Schizosaccharomyces pombe: one gene and its partner. Changing the gene in region 1 together with any one later gene gives a genetic interaction. Each region holds a gene or a part of one and is shown on either strand. Other genes may lie near its edges.

Region 1 (8,302 bases):
AGAAGATGCGAAACATAGCCCCAAAAAACATTCTCCAGCCCTCAGTGACGGTACAACAAGTAATGATGGTGCGCCATTGGAATTTGATACTACGCATCTTCCAGAGAAGCAAGTAACGCTGGATCCTAATGACCCAAGTTTTTATGAACAACTTCATGATAAATATTTTCCGAATTTACCTGTTGATGAAAAGCAAATGCAATGGCTGCATGATCCCAGTCCTGCCGAGAATAGTTATCATCCTTCTGTCGAGAGTTTGCATGCTCATGAAATTCGATTTGGCTTCAAAGGTGAAATTATAACCCCCTCTCAAAGTCAAACAATCCCTGTTAATGAAGGACTTCATCATCATGGAGACGCACCATTTAGTGCCGGATACACTTTAGTTGAGCTGGCTCATCTTTTGCGTTCAAGTTTCCCAACCCAGAGATGCATTGCTATTCAGACTATTGGAAGGATTATTTACCGATTAAACTCTGGCGAATTCAGAGAGGTGCTCAGTCCAGAATTGCATACACTAGTCGAAGATGCACATATCTATGAATTACTTGCCGCCGCTGCCAGTGACCAAGTAAAGCACCTCACTGTACGCTCATTAGCAATTGAGGCACTTTGGTTATGTTCACAAAGTCAACACGGCTCATCGAGATCGGCTGTTTAAAGAAGCAAGCTTTTTTTTATAAGGAAACAGAAAATTATGAAGAATGTTTTATCATTTGTATCTGAATGTGACGATTCTATTTGTTTTGGTTTATGTGTATTACTAGTTTTTTTTTTTTTTTGTATCAAAAAAAGGATGGTTTTTTTTTTGGTCTTTACTTTTTTCGAAATTGTCGCATTGCTGAGAGATTTTACTTGGTAATCGAAAGTGGTGCTGCAATGAATATATTTTTTATACTAATGCTTTATAAGGACAGTTTTTATTTATCTACTTTTATCGTGTTTCCATTCGTTATTTAGTCGAAAATGAATTTTTAACACAAGAAATGACATTGAGACAGACAATTTAGATTAAAATAGCCCACCCTCATAACTAGTAAGATATCACTTTGTCTTTAAATTTTCATCAAGGCGCAGTAAAGAGATATAAAAAAAGTATATATCTCGAAAGATCATTTAACCTAGAAAGTCATAGAAGTAACACATTAATTGAAGTATTATGAAATCAAGGCATAAATAAATAGGATGTCTCGCAGGCGCATAATGGGAGTTCATTTCCGTTTAAACAATCTTTTCCAAAGAGGAGCTTTCTCTTCTTTTCTTCTTATTTGGGTAAGACTTTCGTAGTAAGAAGGTTTAAATTGTGGTTTCAATACTACTTGCTTGGGGATATACTACAATTTGGTTAAAAGGCGAACAAAGGTAAGGCGACCCTATCAAGGCACGTAATAAGAAGCATACCTTATTCCAATAGACATTATCAAGCAAATTATTCAAAGCGTTTAACTGCTTATTAGCCTGTTGAGGTGGCATCTTTTGAAGTCTGGCTCTAATAGATGTGTCAAGAGTCTTAGGAAACGACAACCAAGGTCGCAATTCATCCTTCGGCCAAAGAGCAACTGCCTTTGTTATTTTTTGGTTTAGAGACATTATTGAGGGTTAAAAACAAGAATAAAGCCTCAACTTTCAATTGCTTTGCAAGTAGAAAGATTCTTCGACATTCTCTGCTTTGGCCAGGCTATATCACCTTATTGCGCTAAACAATATTGAGCGGCAAATACAAATATTGTAAATAACTTAACAGAATAATTACATATTTTGTTAGGCTTATAAGGATGCAATCAGTACTACGGTGAGTTTTTTTAGTGAATCATCTATTATGTTATACAACGTATATCATTAAATGATCTTAAAAAGTACCGGTGCGATGGAGTTGATAGAACCTTTGAAAACGGTTTAAAATTGAAGTGAGCAAGGTAGAGTCAACTAAGCATATTTAAGCAGTATTTTAAAACTTTCAATCTATATAAGAAAGGATATCTTATTTGGAGTGGATTAGAAATATGAAATTATCTAAGAAATGTTGCTATGTAAGCGAACGGGTTTTTTGTGAAACGGTTCCTGATGGGGTAGTGTAATATAATACTGTACAACGAATCTAGTGCCGGTGAAGCCAGCATGGCATATTAATTATACGATTAGCTAGCTAAAAGCAGAGAACATGGTTTATACGGGCTCTAATTAAAGTGGTTCTGAATACAGTAAGACATAAATATAATTCTTTCAGTTCATATGCAACATATAGTCTCGTTGAGTAACGAAATTGTACTACCTGTCAACTGTTAACTTCCAGCTTTTCTACATACATCAATGGAGTAACACTAAGAATTATTCCATCATAGAACAAATAAGGCATCAGTATTATCATTTAGAATAACATAAACTTAAATTATCAAAGTAGTAGTCGAAACGAATCGTTCATCTCGAAATCTGTTATTCAAATACGTTCCTTTTTCAAGTATAAAATAATCATCTTATGATTAACGACAAAGCACAAGGAAACAATTGCTTGTAAACCAAAAGTATTTCATTCCGTTCATTAAACCTTAGCATCATAACGTCCAAATAGTCTTGTCTTCAACCAGTCAATCAACACCATGAATTGGGATCGAGCAGAAATCAACTCATTTAAATATGCAAGTCTCCAAAAGGTGTGGCCGACAATTCCCTGCAAAGGCAGCATCTTTTTCATAAATGGCAATTTTAAATCGGCAATGGCCTTTTCATCTCCAACGTAAGCTAAAGCTCCTTGATGATGGTATTTAAAGGGCTCTAACTTCAACTGCTCCACTTGCTGTTTCAATCCGGCAACCTGAGAAGGAGCCTCTTTCTCACCTAACTGTTTTTCAAGAGCTTGAATCCGTTCATGCAATGCAAACTTCTTTCCTTCGACGTTCAAGTTCTTAGCCAACCAAGCACCTTGTTGGTTAGCAACTTGAGCAGTAGCAGGTAATCCAGAGAATGCGCAATCACCAACGGCGTACATCTCAGGTACACCCTTGACCCTAAAAAACTCATCAACTATTAAACCTTTGCGCGCACCGCTTTGTTCAGGGATAGAAGACATCAATGTACGAGTGAGTGGACGAGCAGTAATGCCGGCAGCCCAAACGAGCATTCCGTAGGGTATCTCTTGCATAGCCTTGCTTCCGTCAGGGTTGGTCTTTTGAACGATAAGGTTCTTCTCATTAACATCTTTAACCACGGTTTTAGTCATGATCTTAATGTTAAGATTTTTGAATAAATTCTCCGTATACGTAATCAAAGATTTAGTAAACATGGGGAGAACACCGGGGGCAGCTTCAATTAACGTGACATGGATGTCTTTTTGAAGCTCGGGAAACATATCCTTAACGTCGTTATCAATGAAATCTTGCATCTCAGCTGCAAATTCCATTCCAGTAGGGCCACCACCAACAACAGTGATGTGTAAGAGACGAGCCCGTTCCTCGGGAGAAAGATCTTTATTGAATCGAACTTGTTCCAAGATTTCAAAGATGCGGTTAAACACCTTCTTGGCATCTCCCGCTTCTTTCAGAAAACAGCCATGGTCGCGGACACCCTGGATACCAAATGTTTGATTACCAGCTCCAATAGCAAAAACAAGCGTATCATACGGAATAACCGCTTCCTTTCCCTCGTTAGCTTCGGTCGTACCACGAATGGTAACTTTCTTAGCCGATGTGTCGATGGCAGTGCATTCAGCTTGGTGAATGTTGGAGGGATCAATTTTTCCTTTGAACAAAGCCACAATGGGCTCAGTAATACTTGGAAGTCTCAAAGTACCCACGGTACATGAAGGAAGCATAGGGGTGAATAAAAAATGGTCCCTAGGGCTCACGAGGGTAATGTTGTACAAGGACGGGTCCAAATTTTTGATTGCCGCGACTGCACCCCATCCAGAACCCAAAACAACTATGTTCTTTTTCGGAACACCAGATTTTCCTTTTGGCGAACTGTTGTTCAGTCTTCGTAAGGATTGGAAGAGGGCTACGGCACCCAACATGGACAAAGAAGAAGTAACTTCCGCCATTTCAAGTGCTCGAGAGAAAAATGATTTGTTACGGGGTGTAGGAACATTCCCACTGTTCTTTACAGCACAGGATACATGAAATGAACGAACCATCGTTTTTGAATATGGCACTGTACGAGACAGGCGAACCACAGACTGTAGTCTAGCTTTTGAGACCGACATTTTTTAAGAAAAAAGAAGTAAACAAATTTCCCCTTAAATAGGACTAAGTGATAAGTGGTAGGGAGGCGTGAGTAAAAAAATGTATGAGATAATGACAAATGTTAAAGAGCAAGCAAACTAAAGAGATAAACCCATTCAAAATTGAGCTATTTTACGATATTAATAGACAGTAATAGAAAGAGAGAACGACAACCTTGAGTCCTCTCCTAAATACACAGTGAATTACTATAACTAGCAGAAATAAGCCTTTAGAACTGCGAAAAAAAGGTATCCAATAATAGTTTTACTAGAAAAAATTGTAGTGTATTCTAAAATACCTTCTACTTTACAGAAAACGAGTTTTTCTGCTTATTTTTTTTTTAAGAAGAGATGGGGGAGTGTTGAATGTGGACGAAAGGGCTGCATAGCTGAACATTTTGTATGTAAACAATTAAGGTCTACGAAGCGCCCTAATTCCGTCATCACGGTTATTCATATCAACTTGATTGGACTCGGCAATCAAGTGTGCTGTGAGTGGGGAAAAATAACGCGGAATAAGGTTATCCATAAAAAGTATTACGTGGTAAGAAAAGAATTGCTAAATGTTAGCAACGCACTGTGTTATCACATTTAATGTTACATTGGTAGTGTATGTTATTTGTCCTAAAAAAAGTGATATGGGTGACAAATGCTATAAATTTTGTGGCATGAAGGGTGTAACTCATCGTTGAATCAGCTTATAACTGGACTGAGAACCGGGTCAATTGATCTCTATTCATAAATTGTAGCTAATAGTACCTTCAATCAAAAGTATTTAACTAAATTTATAACCGTCATATTTGGCGAACACATAAAAAAAAGGACATGTGAAAAAATATTAATACCTGCTGTAGTATAATATTACTACATTAGATTACTTTTTAGGAAAAGTTGTGCAACAGTAATTTTTTAGTGTATGGCAAATTCCCAGTTTATGAAGGCAATGCTTTGTCCTGGGTATGAATGCCTTTTATTCACTTTTCTACCTATTTTACCTTCAATGATTTCCTAAACTTAAAATTCAGTAGTATATAAGACAGCTAATGTGTGCGACCTTCCTATGTGTTTTCAAATCGTTTCTCTTAGTTAACAGCTTGATACGTTAGATAGACTCAATATGTATAGAGTAAGTGAGTGAGTGGCAAAATTAAAAAAAAAAGTCATGAGTGTATATACCCAAGGCCTTGTACTGAACGATTGTCTTATGACAGATCTTCTTTTATGATTTAACCCAAATGTATCAGCATACATTGAAGTATTGAAAGAACACATTAATTGCTAGTGAATTGAAAGAATGACAGTAAACCTTCTAATGTAGTAGGATTGTTTAGGTTCTGGTTTCTCAATTAGTAATAAACTAAAATAAATTAAAAATAACCCAATGTATATCGCCCAAGTAATATAAAATCTAAGTATAAAAATGAACAGCCAAAGATATTGTTCAAAGGTATAGTCGTTTAACAGGTACAATGGTAAATACGAAACGAAGGTCCTTGAGATGGACTTTTTACATGCACTTTATTGATTTTCTTATGCAACCACATCCATCTCAACATCCTCTTTGGGGTTCTTTTCATTTTCATGACCATCGCTCTCGTTGTACGTTTCAAAAAGCAATTCTTTCATTTTCTTAGAAACTTCCTCGGCATGCAATGGTGCTGTCTCCAGAACACGGAAAAAATCTTCTTCTGGAATGGGGCCAGCTGTTTCGAGAAAAATTAATTTGGCTGGTTCTGAGGAAATTGAATAACAAATAGTAATAATAGACTCCAATTTGTTAATTGTCCCATCGACATCAGGTTCATCTTGAGTTATTTTGTTCTTCCAGTGACAATTTATTGCACAGGGAATATATTTTAAAGAGATACCTGCGTCCAATAAAGCAAGTACCGCACCATTGATTACGGCAGCCAATGTATCTGTGCCATCTTCCTCTATTATCTGAATTGACACTTGTATAAGTGTTCTTGGATATGTGTTTAGAAATATTGCATCTTCTAGGATACCAACAATTCTGCTAGAAATCATCTTTTCCAAAGTCTCAGCGACACCACTCACAGGTTGAACCAAAACTTCAACGGTGGCCTTGTTAAGCCTTTCGTCCCTGATTTTTACATCAATAGGACCATTGACACCACAAATAACCCTAGCAGAACCTACAATGATGTTAGCATAAAGAAAATTCATTTTTTTTTAATTGGCATTTGCTTGGCTAATATACCGTGGATAATAGCATTACCTTGTTTCCATTCGCTCGAGCCATCAGACCTTGAGAGGATACCTATACGGTTCATTTCAGCTTCTATAATGCAACAAAGTTGCTTGCTTGCAGAGACAGAAGAAACGTTTCTACTTCCTTTGCACAAGTAGGAAATAAGCTAGCTTACACCTCGTTATTCGAAAACAGAATGAGAGCAGAAAAAAATGTATCAATAGTTTGGTGACAATGGGAGTTGTATTAATAAGGGTTTGTAATTAAATTCTTCCAATTTTTACTTTACTAAAGCTGAATGATAGGAGAAACTGGAATGATCTGTAACAGCCCAACCACTAAAAAATTAGAAATTACTCATAGCCATCTTTCAAAATATTTTTTTAAAAATAATACATCATGATATATAATCTCATTATAAAGGAATCACCTTTGTATTAAGGAGAATGAATCCAGGATTGTTTTTTCATTTCTGAAAGTCTACTCAAGCAACGCGTGAAGGTAAATACCTCTTCAATCCCACCAAATGCTCCATGATAGTGAGATTCAATTTTCCCCTTGGCAGCAGGATCAGCCGTAGAGGAAAGTACTTCAGAAGGTGCTGTCGGATATATTTCTTGAACTGGAACTTCAGATGATAAGATGAGTTTTCCATGGGTGTCATAAAGGGCATCAATAAATGTAATGAACCTATGGATAAGGTCTTTCGACTCGATACTCAATTTGGGAATGTCTGAAACGATGAAAACATGGTAACGGCTTGCCAATGAAAGATAGTCGGCAGCGCTTTTCGGTTCTCCACATAATTGTTCAAAGGTGAACCATGCAACGTTGCCACTTGCTTTTGGAACGATTATCTTTCTCCCAAATACTTCAACTTCGTCTTGGTGAGCAGGATCTTTCTCATCAGCGTAGCAAAGAAACCAATTTTCCAAGGCTTTCTTAACTTCTGGGCTATTAGCAGGATAAAGATATGTATCTTCTGTTTTAGATTTTAGGCGTCGGTAATCGTTTGGACTGTCCAAACAAATTACTTGAAGACGATGTTCCAAAAGTTTAATGCAAGGAATGAAGCTCTCTCTTTGTATTCCATTTTTATACAAATCAGAAGGAGCCCTATTAGAAGTAATAAAGATAACAACACCATACTTCATAAGGGCCTCAAAGAGTCTGCGTAGTAAAAGAGCGTCCGCGACATCGGTTACCTGTAATTCGTCAAAACATAGCACTGTTGTTTCTTTTGCTATTCCGGATGCAATATGATCTATAAAATCAATCTCAAACCCATAACGATCTTGCAAATCATGTGAAGTGCGATGAACTTGCATCATAAATGCATGGAAATGAATGCGCTGAGAACGAGTAACATTGGGTGGTAAGTTGTGATAAAATAGATCCATCAAAGCGGTTTTACCACAGCCCACATCACCATATAGATATATACCTTTAGGCATACCCGGTACAGGTAAAGAAGAAGTTAGAGTGGGAGACTTCTTCCTAGAAAACATTTTCTTTAAGGGGGATATCCAAGATAGGATTGATCCCTTTTCAGCTGGCATACTATCTTGCGTTATTGGAGGTTGTGTATACGATTCCAATTCGGTATACAAACGGTTGATTGCTTTAACCGCTGTTTCTTGATACGGGTCACGTTTCCATACGCCGTCATTAACTTTCTTGTTGTATACTTCAATAGGTGTATTATGAAATGTGGTAAAGCGAACTACCCTGCAAACTCCAATGCTTCCTATAGTATCAACAAAAGCAAAACAAGGAGCTGAAACACGAAGCACTTGCAGCATGATGATATGACCAAATTAAATACAAACTTTTGAACAAAAATAATGTTTCGTAAGCTAACTAAAGTAAAGAAAAAA
Region 2 (7,635 bases), 560 kb from region 1:
TATTTATGCTTTACTTGTGTTTATTTGTGCTTTTGTATGTTTTTAGTAAACAGTTTATGGTTTGCGTCTTGATCTTGTCTATGTAAGGATATAAACACTCCTTCTTGTTTTTTATCTAAATTCCAAGAATAATTATTATGTAATCTAATTAGTACTTTGTATAGAAAGATGTTTTAATATTTTAATATTGTATTTCGTTATCTTCAACGGTACACTAGACTTCTGCACGCCGATGTAAGTTTTAAGGGTTCAGAGCGAGGAAGGGAAAGTTTTGCAAACCAATAACAATTTAAGGTAAAACCGATTGGTGCTCTATTTAACATAATTTTTCCTAGGAGTGATTGATACATATTTGAAACTTTTTCGCAAATATTGCTGATTATTACAAATATTTAGAATTAATGGAGGAGACGGTTACCCTAAACAAATATCTATCATATAAATGGTGTTTTTTTTCTTGATTAGCTTTCCAAGATTTGGTAAACGATTCTTTTTAAAAGCGAGTTTAACGAACAAAAGAGGACCATTTAAAAAACGATTCGGCGAGACATTTGAACTAAAATAAAAAAATAATTCGGAAATTTTAATTTGTTTGTTCATTGTGCTAAGACTTAACTGTTTTCATTTCCATGTATGAAGTGATCAAAGTGGGACTAATTCTATGATAAACGAAGTAAACTAAGAATTTTATACTTAAACAAAGGATTACATTTTGAAGCGGAAAAAAACCGGCTGCAAGACAAATAAAATGCCTCAACCCTCTTACGCTGATCAGATTAACGTTGAAGATTCTTCAGATTATGAGAAAGACCCCAAAGAATATGTTGATAAGGAAAAAGGATATTTTCCACATGTTATAACTTCTCATATTTCTAAGAGCTCGTCTCAGTCGCATCCAGATGTGTCAAATGCAGTGCTTGACGAAACGTTCAGTTTTATGCAAGAAGCTAAAGATCTAGAACCGCTCACACCTAAACAAGATAAAAGATTGCGTTGGAAATTGTATTTTACTGTACTTGTAATGCTCATGATACTGGATATGATGTTATACATTGACAAGGCCACACTAAGTTACTCAAGTATCCTTGGATTATTTGAAGATACACACATAAATAGCAACCAATACAATGATATAAATACGCTTTTTTATGTGGGATTTGTTATTGGACAGATCCCTGGTCATATGTTACTGCAAAGATTTCCCGTCAGTAAGTTTGTTGCTGCTTCAACGGCTCTCTGGACGATTATAATTTTCTTGCATTGCGCCGCATATAATTTTAGTGGTTTAATGGCACTTCGTTTTTTTCTGGGTCTTGTAGAATCCTCGTTGCTACCTACCATGGAAGCAACCATTGGCATGTTTTTCCCTCATTCTGAGCAAGCTCTTCTTCAGCCCTTTTTCTATATTTCATGCTATGGCTGTAATATTCCTGCAGGGTTTATAGCCTATGGAGTCCAATATGCAAAAAACACCATATCTCCTTGGAAGCTCTTTATGATAATCGTCGGAGGAATCACATTTTTTTTAACTATTGGACTCTTTTTTTATTACCCAGATAATACTTCTACTGCTAGATTCTTGACCAAGAAAGAGAGATTATACACAGTTGACCGTGTACGTAGAAGTAATCATAGCGGTATTGAGTCGAAGACTTTCAAGAAGTATCAAGTAATCGAGGCGTTAAAGGATCCAGTGACATGGTTATTTACTTTTCATGTTTTTTGCAATCAACTTTCCAACAATTTAGCTTACCAACAAAATTTACTTTTTACAAGCTTGAATGTTTCTGATTTGAATTCTACCTTGGTGGGCGTCGCTAGTGCCGGATATAATTGCGTTAGCGCAATTATAGCAACTTATATGATGAGTGTGATAAAAAACCAAAGTGCCTTTCACGGAGCTATATGGTATATCCCAAGTATTGCCGGAGGAATTGCGTGCGTAGCCATGTCATGGGATCATAAAATTGGGGAGTTAGCAGCTATTATTATAGCAAGCAATTTTGGTATCCCTTTTATTATTTCTCTTGGATGGACAACAGCCTCTTGTGCTGGATACACAAAGAAGCTTACTCGTGGTGTTATGTTTATGATTGGATATGCCATTGCCAACATCATTGGCCCACAAATGTGGCAGAGTCGTGATGCCCCGAGATATTATCCTGCTTGGATTGTTCAAATAGTAATTGCTTGGTCTGTTTCTCCCTTTGTATTGCTGATCATTCGCTGGATTCTTGTTCGAAGGAACAAAAAGCGCCTTGCTCTTCTTGAGCAGAATAAAGAACAGTATGAAAAGACTTGGATTGAGACGATTGATTCTTCTGGAAATCACGTTTCCGGTTTTTACGAAAATTCTATGCTTGATTTGACAGACCAGGAGAACCTATCGTTTATTTATCCCTTATAATTATCCATTTAAACGAAGGAATAAATCTTAAAAAATAACTTTTTGAAGTATTCATGAGAAATGTTTACAAAATAATTTCAAATTCCCAACAGTCATGAAAAATCCTTCTACTATTTGCTTTTTTTTTTGCAAAATTTTGTATTTTTAAACTACTTGCCCGTAAACTCTTAACTTATTTTAGACTACTACAAGACAGTTGCTTTATTTACTTGTTTTTTTGTTTCCTTTAGGATTCCTAACCTTTAATAGTAATCTTCGTCTTTAGCGAAGAATAGTTTGAAATTTTGTTTGTATATATTGCTGAAAGCTTTATTCAGTTACTATTTACATAGATTGAAAAGAAGAACTAGCATTCATTGCTAAATAAAATGGAGGTCGATTTTTATCCCCAATGGTTTCTCATAGTTTACTTTGCTGCAAAGTTGCGATTGAAAAAGAGATGTTCTAAAAAAGTATTTTTATATCAATTATAAAGCCTAATACGTAGGGGAAATCCAAACCAGTTAAATTTTTCAGCTCGGCTTTGCATTCCATCTGATAATTTTCGCTGTAGATTATCATATTTAAAAAACATTGAATCAATTGGTAACTTAGCATATATACGTTGATAGATGAAATCAGCTATTATTAGATTTTATAATCTTTAAACTGTGGTGTTTAATAAGTAAAAGACTGGAAATAGCCCATTAAATTAAACAATTAGCTGAACCCGAGTTCCATATTTGCAATAAGTTTTTTACCATTAATAAACTGCTATGTGGTGTTTCATTAACAGTAAAAAATTATTGTAAAATTCAATATCATGAATAATCATTAAAGATTGTGCTTAGCTGGTTTGAACAAACCGACGTTTTCGGCAACAAAATCGTCTGGGGCTGTTACTACTCCAGTTTCAGCTTCGTAGACCAACCAATACTCGATGAGTTCGTTTAGAATATCTGGATGGACTTTCGCTAGATTTTCAAGCTCACCTTTGTCCTGGGAAAGATCATACAGCTCCCATTCTGTTTTTATTCCTTCTTTAGGTACATATATTGCCTTATAATTTCCTTTTCTGATAGCTCTTTGCCCGAAAAGTTCCCAGCCGCTAAAGTCAGTATCTTTGTGTACGGGTTTTCCATGCACAAAATGGTCAATCCAAGGTTTCCCACGGGGGATTACAACATCTCGTCCTTGAAATTTGTGCCCTGGGTGAGGGACTTCTGCTAACTCAAGGATGGTTGGCAGGATATCCATAACCGTAACAAACTCATCGGAGATGATGTCTGGCTTGATCAATGGAGGATAGCGAATTATAGCAGGACATCGAATACCACCTTCTGTAATAAAACCCTTGCTAAGTCGAGAAGGAGCGGTCGCAGCCTGTGCCCATCTTGGTCCGTACCAAATAAATGAATTATAATTACCCAAGTTTTCCAGTGAATTGTCAAAATACTTAACCGGTGGTTTTGTGCTTAATACCGGGATTGCTTCCAAAACTGACCCTTCTGCACCGTTGTCTGACATAAATATAACAAATGTGTTGTCAAGTTCTCCAATAGTTTTCAAGTAGTCAATAACACGACCAATATTCAAATCTAATAATTCGACCATTGCAGCATAAACTTCCATCGTTCGCGCAGAAAATTCTTTCTCTTCTGTTGTTAGTTCGTCCCATGACTTGGTTCCCATTCCATCTACAGGTGCTGGAATTACATTTTCTGGTATAAGTCCCAAATCCTTTTGGGCTTGCAAGCGATTTTTTCGTAACACATCGGGGCCTTCACTATATCGTCCACGATATTTATTAATATATTCTTTTGGTGATTGCAACGGCCAATGAGGTGCTGTAAATGGGAGGTAAGCAAAAAATGACTGGGATTTTTCACGATTTTTTAACTGATCAATTAATTTTTCTGCAAAGTAATTGGACGAATAAAAATTTTTTAAGCTTTTGTGATCAACAGGATCATGATTGTGGGTATACAATGGTGGTAAAAAAGGTACAGCAGGGTTTTCTCTAGTACCAGGTTCATATGCAAAATGATTACCACCTCCAGGTAAAAGTGCAAAAGATTCTTTAAATCCTCGCTTTGAAGGGTAACGATCTGGGGTTAGTCCAAGGTGCCACTTTCCAGACATTGTGGTATAGTAACCCGCTTCCTGTAGAATCTCTGGTAATGCAGCAACTCTATCATTTAGGTAGCCTTCGTACCCAGGCTTTCCACCCCATACTTTCGAAAACCTGCGTACTGTCTCTGCCATTTGCCCTAAACCTGCTATGTGATTGTCTGTACCGCTTAATAACATAGATCGAGTAGGCGAGCAAGCAGAGGCTGTATGAAAGTTTGTCAACCGTACACCTTCCTTTGCAAGCCTCTCAATATTTGGAGTGTGTATTTCACTTCCAAACGGAGAAACATCTGACCATCCAAGATCGTCAGCTACGATGACCAAAAAGTTTGGTTTTTTAGATTCAGCTTGTTTATTAAAAGCCATAGTTACTATTCAAATTTTTTTTGATTGCGAATAAATTTTTATGCAGCTCAAACTGTAATTTTTATTTTATGTTCATAAAGGGCATGTGAGACAAGAGACAGCCCACAAGTTGATTAAAATATGAAAAAATATATTTGCAACAATTGTCTTCCGTAATAGATTGCAAAATTACAAATACCTAATGAAGAAGTATGGCGTGCTATCACGTAAGCTTTGAGTAACATCATCCATATTAAAAAAGATACTCATACATTCCAATTTACTGGATCAAACTGTAATTTACTTATCTGAATATTTTAGAGATAAGATTCAGTAAATCAAGTTTAAAACTAATTACTGTCACTCACTCAATATGTGCAAAACTGAGTTTACTGACCAGGAATTGACTTTTTTTTTTTATTTATCAAGGAAATATTAATTGAGTTATCAATCCCAAAGGAAAATATGTGAAAATATTTAAACACTCGCCAAATTATATTAATTGATCTTTATATCAATAAATGCTTTACTCTAGAAAAAATCGGTTTCGGTAATATACTACAAAGGAACCTAAATAGATTTTGAAGCTTTATACATATAAGAAAACATTAATTTTCTAAAAGATACCAAATGATAATTAACAAGGACGTCGATTTTCGTTATTTTGAACTTTCAACGAGAAATGTCAGTGGAAGATTCAACATATTTTCTATGAGATAAATTAGATATAATAACATTTTGCTTTTGACAATAACTGAGAAAAATCATATTTATACCTAGATTTGTTGAGTGATACGAATTTCATACAATTTAATGGGGGTAAACTGCGATTAAAATTACGTTTTGGTCCTTTGTATTGTCTTATTGATATGAAATATCAGACACGAATATTTTCATACTAAGTGGTAATAATTAATTTACAACTGACCTCGGATTCTCTTTTCGTTTGAAATTAAAATAATACTTAATTATTACAATTGGAATTTAATAATCTCGATTAGTGGACGTAATATATATGAAGATATGAAGAGTATAAAAGTATCGAGATGTATCATAATAAAGCTTAATGCTATATATCTGAAGATTTTTTTCTTGGTAAATTGTTTCCGTAACTAAGGGCCGTCCAATAATTAGACTTCCTAAGTTCAAAAATAGTGGACCAATTGTTAAAAAATACAGATAAAGAACATCTTAAGACATTCACAATATACAAAAACAACTTGTTTCAATTGTAGGAACTTGTAAAGTTAAAGGATTAAGTTGTTGTACAGAAAGGATCTTTGCGTAATGTTGGATCCGAGAAAAGATGTAACATTCTCAAACAATCCATACATCATTTCCCTTCAACGCACTTTTGGTACTATCAATTGCAATTATAAGTGAATTCAAATTATATCAAAAGAGTTACGTAAATTCATATTTATCAGATTTGGTCTGATATTATGTTAAAGTGTAAACTTATTGAGCAGCACCCACTATTTTCTTTTTACTCATTATTATATCGGATGTATTCAAACTTGGTTTACATTTAAATAGTAATAGCAAATCGTTTTAATTACAAATTAGAATTTACACGTGTTAAGTTGTCATTGTTACTCGGTAAATGCATCCTAGATTATGACTATAATAATTTTGTTTAAACATTCCTTTTCTTAGCATGTTTTCATTTGTGTTCGATGGGTAAAAAGCTAATAATATTATTATAAAATAAGCTGTATTATAATAATAGGTTGTCTGAGCCGAAGCAAGTAATTGTGCTAACTACATTCCCATATACGCTTATTATTGCAAGGAATTTTAAATGACTTGGAAATGATTAAAAAGCAAAATTAATTGGCTGTTCACTTTTATATATAATGTAGCGGCATGTAAAGTGCTACTAGTATAGGCATATAAATATTTATTTGAGCGGACATCTTTTTTTAACTATAGTACTTGGAAAAATCGTATACGGTGGATCATTAGCTGATTAAACCAGAAATATTACAACTTAGTTCAACAACGCATTATTGAAAGTGAAAGCGAGTCCTCAGATGAGCAACATGAAGTATATCAAAATGGTATTATCTACGATACTGATTAAAAGGATGAAGCATCTATATTTGAGAAATTAGGTGATGATGAATCTGCTCATGAGGACAATATGCTTGAACTTGGAGAGCCCTAGGAATTTTCGAAATTTTTTTGGAAACGGAGAAAGCTAGATCCAAACTCCATTACAACAAAAAAATCCATTTTTGATGATCCTAATACGTTAGCTGCTTTCAAACCTAGTCCTTACTATGAAAGTAGACACCGCATCGATCCTTTTTTTAGATGGATATGGGTCAGGAACAAAAAGTTGTTCGTAAAATAGATATGCTCATTATTTCATGGGCATTCATTATGTTTTTTGCACTAGAATTAGATCGTGCCAATATTCAACAAGCCCTTTCAGATAACATGTTGGATGATTTAGGAATGAATACTAATGATTACAATAAGGGTATGACAATATTTTATTGTTCCTTTTTAGCGGCAAAACTGCCATCTCAATTAATTAGCAAGAAGATAGGTCCCAATCGCTGGATTCCAACCCAAATGGTTTTATGGAGCATTGTTTATATTTGTCAATATTCTTTAAGTGGAACAGCATTATTTTAAATTATGAGATGGCTTCTAGGTATGCTTGAAGGAGGGTTTATTCCCGTCGTCATCTTGTATTAATCTTATTTTTATAATGGACAAGAAATCTCTTTACGCTTAGCAATTTTTTTGGATTTCTAATACCT

The links.
Region 2: mutations in ndi1 (region 1) and SPOM_SPBPB10D8.02C together harm fitness more than expected from each alone (negative genetic interaction), as found in Schizosaccharomyces pombe (one large-scale study listed by BioGRID).

What each region holds. Positions count from the first base shown.
Region 1 is NC_003423.3:637,579-645,880, reverse strand, and holds ndi1 (NADH dehydrogenase), read right to left. Parts: upstream 4,588-8,302; 5' UTR 4,196-4,587; coding exon 2,540-4,195; 3' UTR 1,975-2,539; downstream 1-1,974. Other genes in the region: rba50 (RNA polymerase II-associated protein), read left to right, coding at 1-661; respiratory chain complex assembly protein Cbp6, read right to left, coding at 1,212-1,334, 1,402-1,590; exosome subunit Rrp46, read right to left, coding at 5,744-6,369, 6,453-6,507; AFG1 family ATPase, read right to left, coding at 6,863-8,227.
Region 2 is NC_003423.3:80,547-88,181, forward strand, and holds SPOM_SPBPB10D8.02C (arylsulfatase), read right to left. Parts: upstream 4,973-7,635; 5' UTR 4,886-4,972; coding exon 3,221-4,885; 3' UTR 2,683-3,220; downstream 1-2,682. Other genes in the region: SPOM_SPBPB10D8.01 (cysteine transporter), read left to right, coding at 749-2,407.